2 linked regions of the Mus musculus genome follow. The protein of the gene in region 1 purifies or fractionates together with the protein of each later gene. This does not show direct contact. Links are inferred from orthologs where the notes say so. Each region holds a gene or a part of one and is shown on either strand. Other genes may lie near its edges.

Region 1 (3,500 bases):
AATCTGAGTGTAGCCCTGGAACTCGCCTTGTAGACCAGGTTGGCCTCAAACTCAGTGATCCACCCACCTGTCTGCTGAGCTGCTAGGACTAAAGGCGTGTGTGCCTTACCCCCAGTGGGAAAAGAGTTCTTTACCAATATTAGCGACATGCCTGTTTCTTCCCTTGCTATATATAGCCCATCATAATACAGATGTCCTAAAACTATATTTGGGAGGAGGTTGCTTGTTCTTTGACTACCCTTGTACTCATACGGAGTTACCGACGGTGGGGTGAGCCGCCATGTGGGTGCTGGGAGTCAAACCCAGGTTCTCTGCAAAAACAACTAAGTGCTCTTAACTACTGAGCCATCTCTCCAGCCCCTTAAGTTCTTCCCATAGAGAACCCTCTTCTAAAGCTTTCAGAGACCTTTCACATCTCTAGTCTGATGCCTCTTAAAGGAAATAAAATAAAAGCTAAAACTGAAGAGTATTTTAAATGACAACCTATGACAATGTCTAAGTTGAAATTGTCAAACTGTCAGGAGAGGTAAGTTGGTATGCAGGCAGGGTCCAAAGACTATATAGTTTTAGGGTATCTTTATATCTTTTCACAAGTCTGTCTATACTTCACACTAGGAAACCCTGTGACTGATGCTCCCAAAGATCGTGTAGCTTTGTGGCCATGAAATAAAATAACTACAGAGACCCCCCCCCCAGCTCTGTTTTGAATATCCATCACCTTTAGGGCATAGCTAACTGCAGTGTCTAAGAACCATTATGACTCTTTGTATATATGATTCCTTCTGCCCCAAAATATTTTGCTCATCTTCAATATGCAAAGTCCTACTGGACTCCTCCAGACTGTTCTAGGAGACCTTCTCACAGAATGTGGTTGCTCCACCCCTGGGCTTCCAAAGGTTTTGTTTTTGTTTTTTTGTTTTTTCAAGAGGGTTTCTCTGTGTAGCCCTGGCTGTCCTTGAACTCAAAAATCCGCCTGCCTCTGGAATTAAAGGCGTGCGCCACCATGCCCGGCTGACCAAAGGATTTGTTAACAAATCATTTTATTTATTTGTATGTGTACAGACATGTATACATACATATACATACATACATATATATATATACATACATACATACATACATAAAACACGCACACACAGTTACTTTTTTGGTTATTTTTTGTTGAAAGCCAGAGTCTCAGTATCTCTGGCTAGCCTCGAACACTCTATATAGACGGGGCTGGCCTTGAATTCAGAGATCTGCGGGCCTCTGCTTCCAAAGTGCTGGGACTAAAGGTGTGCAACACCACACCCGACGCCATATTATAATTTCCCATTTACTCTATTGTTGCAGACTGATAACCACCTTTGTATATTAGCTGAAAAACCTTTCTTCCATGCTGAATAAAACTAGGAGGGGAAAAGCCTACTTCTACATAAGCCCAAGTGACTAAATACATTAGAGAGCCTTCCAAGTACTTCTAACCACAAGCCTTTTGTTTATTTCACTACCAAAGCAACATTCTGAATATTTATTCAAAGTTATTCTATCAAATGTGACTCTATATTCTAGAATTAAAAGTACCTTTAGAAGCATTAAATCTCACTGACACACTCAATAAGCAATTTAACTCTTAAGCCATTTTATAGTGATGAGATAACATTCCCATTTTATCGTTTTACGATGACCTATAACGAACGCCATACAGTCTTCAAGACACCTGCATCTCACATTTATATAAGCCACTGCCTATAAAAGAACATCTGACAGAAACCACTTTGAAGACCGAGTATTTCAGCAGCTGCCTTACACTTTGACCATTCTACCACCTATACCAATGGTTTTCAACCTGTGGGTCTCAACCCCTTTGTAGGTAGGGTATTAAATGATCCTTTCACAGGGGCCAAATGTCAGGTATCCTGCGTATCAGATATTTACAGTATGATGCATAACCTTAGTAAAGCTATGGTTATGAAGTAACAACGATTATTTAATGGGGGGCTGGAGAGACAGCTGCTCTTCCAGAGGTCTCAGCACCCACATGGTGGCTCATAACCATCGATAATGAGATCTAGCGCCCTCTTCTGGCCTGCAGGCACACACACAGACAGGTGCTGTACGCACAATAAATCTTTAAAAAATAATAATTTAAAGGAGGGGGGTCACGAAAACATGAAGAATTGTACTAAAGGGTCGCAGTGTTAGGAGGGCTGAGAACCACTGCTCTCCATCAAGCTCAGGAGCAGTATCCCTATGAACCAGCACAACAGAATGACACCACTGTCCACTGTGAAGAAGTCAGGGGAAAGGAAAACATGTTTACCTTGGGAACTCTGGCTTAGCCTGGCTGAGGAGCGGGTGACTCGGGCAGATCGGCGCGAGGTGCCATCACTCTCTGAACTGTCTGTATGCTCGAGATCTGTAGAAAAATCGGAATCTTCGGTTCCATCTGAACTACTGCCTGCATTTCTCTGCAATACCATAGATCCAGACATTAGCACAAAAGCATTTACTACAGTTTTCTATTAGCACTGGAAGTAAAATGAACCATGATGCTGAAGTACCAAGTTCCAACATAAGGAAGGACTCCACCACCAGCCAGCCTTTCCCCTCCCTGCTGTGCAGAGGCGCTGCCCTTCCTTTCAGACATGCTAGTGGAATGACCTACAACCAAACCACCTGTACTCAGCAGACCGAGAAGAGAAGTAATTCTTCGTGTATTATCACTAATTCTGAAACAATCTGGACTGAATCACTAGAAATTGGAAATAAAAGCACCCAACCCAACAACAAAACACCCAAATCAAAATGGTCTGGCTAGTCAAGAAAAAAATAAAAAGGACAAACGAAAGAAAAAGCACAGTCCAGTGGCTGACAGCACAGGCCGCTCCGGCAAAGGACCCTAGTTCATTTGCCAGCACTTGCCCACTTGGTAGTTCACAACTGAAGTCTGTAACTCCCGCTCCAGAGGGAGCCAAATACCTCCAGCCTCCGCAGGCACCTGTTCTCACACATCCCTACACACATCCAGATAATTAAAATAGTACAACTAAACCTTAAAAAAAAAAAAGGAAAAGAAAAAGTCCAAGATGGCATATAAAATGTTATTGCTAGGCCTCACTGAACTTTGGGGTAAATTTTATTCAAATTCTCCATCAACAAAAATTATATTATATATTATAATATAATAAAAATTATATTAGCTGGGCATGGTGGTGTATGCCATTAATCCTAGGAGTAAGAAGATCTCTGTGAGTCCAGGGCAGCCTGGTCTACATAACAGAGTTCCAGGACAGCCAGAGCTACAGAGAAACCCTGACCGGGGTCATTTCAAAGTATGTTCTTGGGGCTGGAGAGATGGTTTGGTGGTTAAGAGCATTTGCTGCTCTTCCAGAGGACCTGGGTTCAATTCCCAACATCCATGGCAGCTTACAACTACCTGGAGCTCCAGTTCTAGGAGCTCTTTTTTTTTTTTTTAAGATTTATTTATTATTATATGTAAGTACACTGTAGCTGTCTTC
Region 2 (3,958 bases), on another chromosome or scaffold:
TTCAGTGAGTGAATTCCAGGCCAGGCAGGGATACAGAGTGAGAACCTGTTATCTAAATAAATAAATAAATAAATAAATAAACAAAATCACAGATCTAAAACATCTCCAGAGACATCTCATGGCTAGAAGCCCTATCTCTTGGCCCTGTCCAAAGTAAAGACATCTGAAATGCTTCAGACTATAAATAATATAATATGCTAGGTACTTCCGGCAGAAGGCAGTACTTAAGATAACTGCAATACTACTTGGGGCATTTCCAACCACAAACCTTGCAAGCTGGGAATGCCTCTAAGAAATCTTTTAAATTTTAAGTAGTCTGTCTAAGGTCTTCATTGAACTCAAGGACAAGTTGATTGGGGGGTTATCTGAGGCGAATTCTCCACCTACAATTACCACAGAAATCTCTCTCCCTTGATACTTGTATCTAATCTACCCAGGGTGCTTCCCCCAGCATTCTCTGCCCCTAAGGAGCAGCTGCAGGCAGTTACCAAGGCCATCCTCACCAGGAAGACCTAAGATAGGATGGCTATACTCAGCATACTTTAACAAACTACAATGGCCTTTTCTTTTTAATCTTTCTCACAACTACCTCAAGAGACTGTGCAGACATCATCTCCATTTCAGCCACGAGAAAACAGAAGCTCAGAAAAATGTGTGAATCCAGATCTCCTAGCAAGCTGAGAGGCTACAAACACCAAGAGTCTCGGAGAGCTCTAGAGAGAGGATGTTCTGCACCAACCTAGGTTCTAATCCTGCTCCTGTGTAACCTGGACAAAGCTTTGAATTTCTCTGCCTCCACAGTGCATCAATAAAACAGTGTGGGGTGGGGTGTACTAGCACACTTTCCAGCCCAGTACTCTGGAGGCAGAGGCGCTATTCTTAAGTACTGCCTTCTCTGTGGAATTTGAGGCCAAGCAGATCTATATAGTATTTCAGACTAGCAACGCACATAGCGAGACCCTCTAAAAATGTAAAATGTTCATAGGAGAGATGGCTCAGCACAGTTGAGAGCACTGGCTGTTCTTCCAGAGGACCCAGGTTCAATTCCTAGGCAAAACACCAATACACATATTGTTTAATAATAATAATTATATATATATATGCATGCTGGAAAAATAACAGCATTTAAGAGGATGCCTAGCACCCACACTGTGGATCACAACTCCAGTAACTCCAGTTCCAGGGTATTGGAAGCCCTCTTCTGAATTCTTGGGGAACCCGGCATATATCAGGCAACATGCCCAGGCACATAAAATTTAAAAAAAATAAAAATGTAATAAAAGCAAGGGCAGAAATATCTACTTCTTAAGGATGATCAATAAGTCACCATTGACAACCACAGTGTAAAGGCCTCTCAGTCCCAAGGTGTGACTTAAGTTAACCTGGCTGTGGAGCAACCTGAGGCAGGCATACACCACCATTTGGAGCTAAAGGACCTTTACCGCACTTCTGTTCAACCCGAAGCCCTGAGGGCACGAGATCCCGTACCAACCTCAAGGTCTCAAAAGTAGTCCCAGCCAACAGATTCCATTCCCCAATTCTCCAAAGGCAAGCAGCCTCTGGAGAGGAAACACACACTTCAGTATCGATTTTGAAGAATCTACAAGAACCCCATCCTGTAGTCTCAGAAGTCGTCTCCATCCCCATTCGGGGCTCCCGCGATGCGATCACAGGGGGCAAACCCATGGGACCCAGCTGGGCTACTGCCAGGGGAAACCAAGAGTTTCGCCTACAAGGAGCTAACAACTAGACCAGGGTTGGTATTTTTTTTTTGGCGGGAGTTTCCTCACGTACACAACTCTTCCCATACACACACTGCCGAGTACCCCCAACAGCCCCCTTCAGAGACGTTCTTAGCGACCCGGGATCCCCAACTCGACCACCTCACCCTGGCCCCCGAATGAGGAGTTTCAACAATTGGACGGAACCCGCCCTGCACGCCACACAAGGGACTCATGAGACCAGGTAAGACTCCAGACAAGGTCTCTGTCCCTTTAAAGGGACTCCTCTTCCAGTGGAATCTTCACGACACCCCCCGAAGGAGAAAAAAGAGAAATATCTCCCCCTAAAAAAAACAACCCAGAGGGTAGGCGCACCACAGATAGACGCAGAGTCCGACCCTCACAGAGAAAGCGAGCGCCAGCGAACGGCGGAGGGGTGGGGAGGGGGGGGGAGGACGCGGAGATGCAAGCACTTATTGGCCGCCCAACCTGCCCGTCAAGGGGGAACCCGTGCGCCGAGGGCGGCCCCTGAAGGCGGGACTCTGGTCTAGCCAGGCCAATAGGGGAGCACGGGGAGGGCGGGGCTTAGCCGTTTGGCTGCCAGGACCGGGGAGAAACAAGATGGCGGGTGCGGGAGGGGGTCCTCGCTTTGCAGCTCCCTTCCGCGCGCTTTTCCCGGCCTCGTCGCCGCCCTCGCTCCGGGGGAGAGGTCGCGCGTCACCCCCACGCCCCATCGGGACACCCCTGTGCGCCCCGGCCGCCCCCTCGCGCGCAGCGCTCGCTCCCCGCCGGCCCCCGCCGCCCCCGCTCGCTCCGGCCCCGCCGCCGCCGCCCCCATTTTACCTCAGCCGCCGGCCGGGCCCCTAGCTTCGGGGGCCCCCTGAGCGCGAGCGCGGCCGGCCGGGTGAGCGGCCGGGCGAGCGGGCCGGGCGAGCGAGCAGCTCCGTGCGCGGCCCGGCTGAGGGAGCGCGGCCTCCTCCCGCTCCGGCCCTCCGCTCCGTCTCCCCGGGCCCGGCCGCCTCTCCCGGGGGAGGAGGGGGAATGGAGCCACCGCCGCCACCACCGCTGCCGCCCGCCACGGAGCCCGGCCGAGGGGAGGGAGGGATCAGCCCCCAGGCAGGATCCGCCCCTCGGCCTCCCCCCGCCACCTCCACCCCTTCCCTCACTCCCTCCCCGGATCGAGCCGCCGCACGCGAAGCGGGAGCGCGAAAGCGCGGGGAGACCGGAGCGGATGCCCCCGCCCGAGCCCAGCCCGGCGCGGCGGCAGCGGCGGCGGGGAGACGGGCGGGGAGATGAGCGCGAAGCGGCAGCGCCACCTCCACGGGGCACCGTCCCCGGCACGGCCTCACGGTGGCGGTGCGGACGCGGCGGGGCCGCTTCACCCTGGGCCTGTCCCAGAGCTGATCTAGTCGGGGTTCCCACTCTGAATCCACGGAGCGGTGGCTCACCCCATCCCAGCCAGAGCGTGGGGCCACCCGCCGCCCCCGAGGTGGGAACGCCCATGCTCCCACCCACCCACAAAGCTCGCCCCAGGACGACCCCGGAGGGCCACACTGTGTGTGGCTTCCCAGAGTGCAGGTGGCTGCGAAGCCTCCAGAAAGTCGTCCCTCCCCAGGCCCCCGGGACAAAGGTCTAGCGATGTCCACCCATCCCCTCCCCCAGTGCGGACAGCCCGGGAAAGACCCGTGCCTGTGGTGTGTGTACAGGTGAGCCTCTCCTGGCACACAAGGCTGCCACGGACCAGACTTTTCCATCTGTGTGGAGTTTTTTTTTTTTTAAGTAAACATAAAAGTTTGACAGTCTGCTTAAGCGTGCCTCGTAATTCCGTTTGTCACTCTAGGCATGGGAAATACTTTTCCCCTTGAATTTGATTTGGCCAGGAGTCGGTTAATTTAATGCACTGAACGGCTTTCTCAAAGGCAGCCTGCCTGTCAAACAGCAACTCCCAGACTTTGAAGTGTACTCAAGCTGCCTTTTGTTCTAATAAAAGAAAAAATAAATAGAAGAAAAGGTCCCTTTGCCCCTCCACGAGCGCATGTACCTATAAATTTGAAAGCTTACCTCGTGACAGAGATCTTAAGCACCAATACTTAATGATGCTTATAAAGGATATATGGATAAACTGCTATCGAAGATGAAGATGAATGATATATTTTGAAAGCGTTTCCTCTACACGAACGGCTGGTGAGACTTTCAATTGCTCGATTGGCTCTGGTATCCAGGACCTGGGTACTACA

Evidence for each region. The genes of interacting proteins can lie anywhere in the genome.
Region 2: the proteins of Kat7 (region 1) and Brpf3 purify together in Homo sapiens (affinity purification with mass spectrometry; 3 studies listed by BioGRID and IntAct, counting the BioPlex papers as one, with this or other methods). This does not show direct contact. The link is inferred for Mus musculus from reciprocal best matches to the Homo sapiens genes KAT7 and BRPF3.

What each region holds. Positions count from the first base shown.
Region 1 is NC_000077.6:95,303,747-95,307,246, forward strand, and holds part of Kat7 (histone acetyltransferase KAT7), read right to left. Parts: intron 2,451-3,500; coding exon 2,303-2,450; intron 1-2,302. UniProt on the Homo sapiens protein: Catalytic subunit of histone acetyltransferase HBO1 complexes, which specifically mediate acetylation of histone H3 at 'Lys-14' (H3K14ac), thereby regulating various processes, such as gene transcription, protein ubiquitination, immune regulation, stem cell pluripotent and self-renewal maintenance and embryonic development.
Region 2 is NC_000083.6:28,799,968-28,803,925, reverse strand, and holds the start of Brpf3 (bromodomain and PHD finger-containing protein 3), read right to left. Parts: upstream 2,801-3,958; 5' UTR 2,565-2,800; intron 2,326-2,564; exon of another isoform or gene 2,097-2,325; intron 1,869-2,096; exon of another isoform or gene 1,493-1,868; intron 1,036-1,492; exon of another isoform or gene 596-1,035; intron 53-595; exon of another isoform or gene 1-52. UniProt on the Homo sapiens protein: Scaffold subunit of various histone acetyltransferase (HAT) complexes, such as the MOZ/MORF and HBO1 complexes, which have a histone H3 acetyltransferase activity.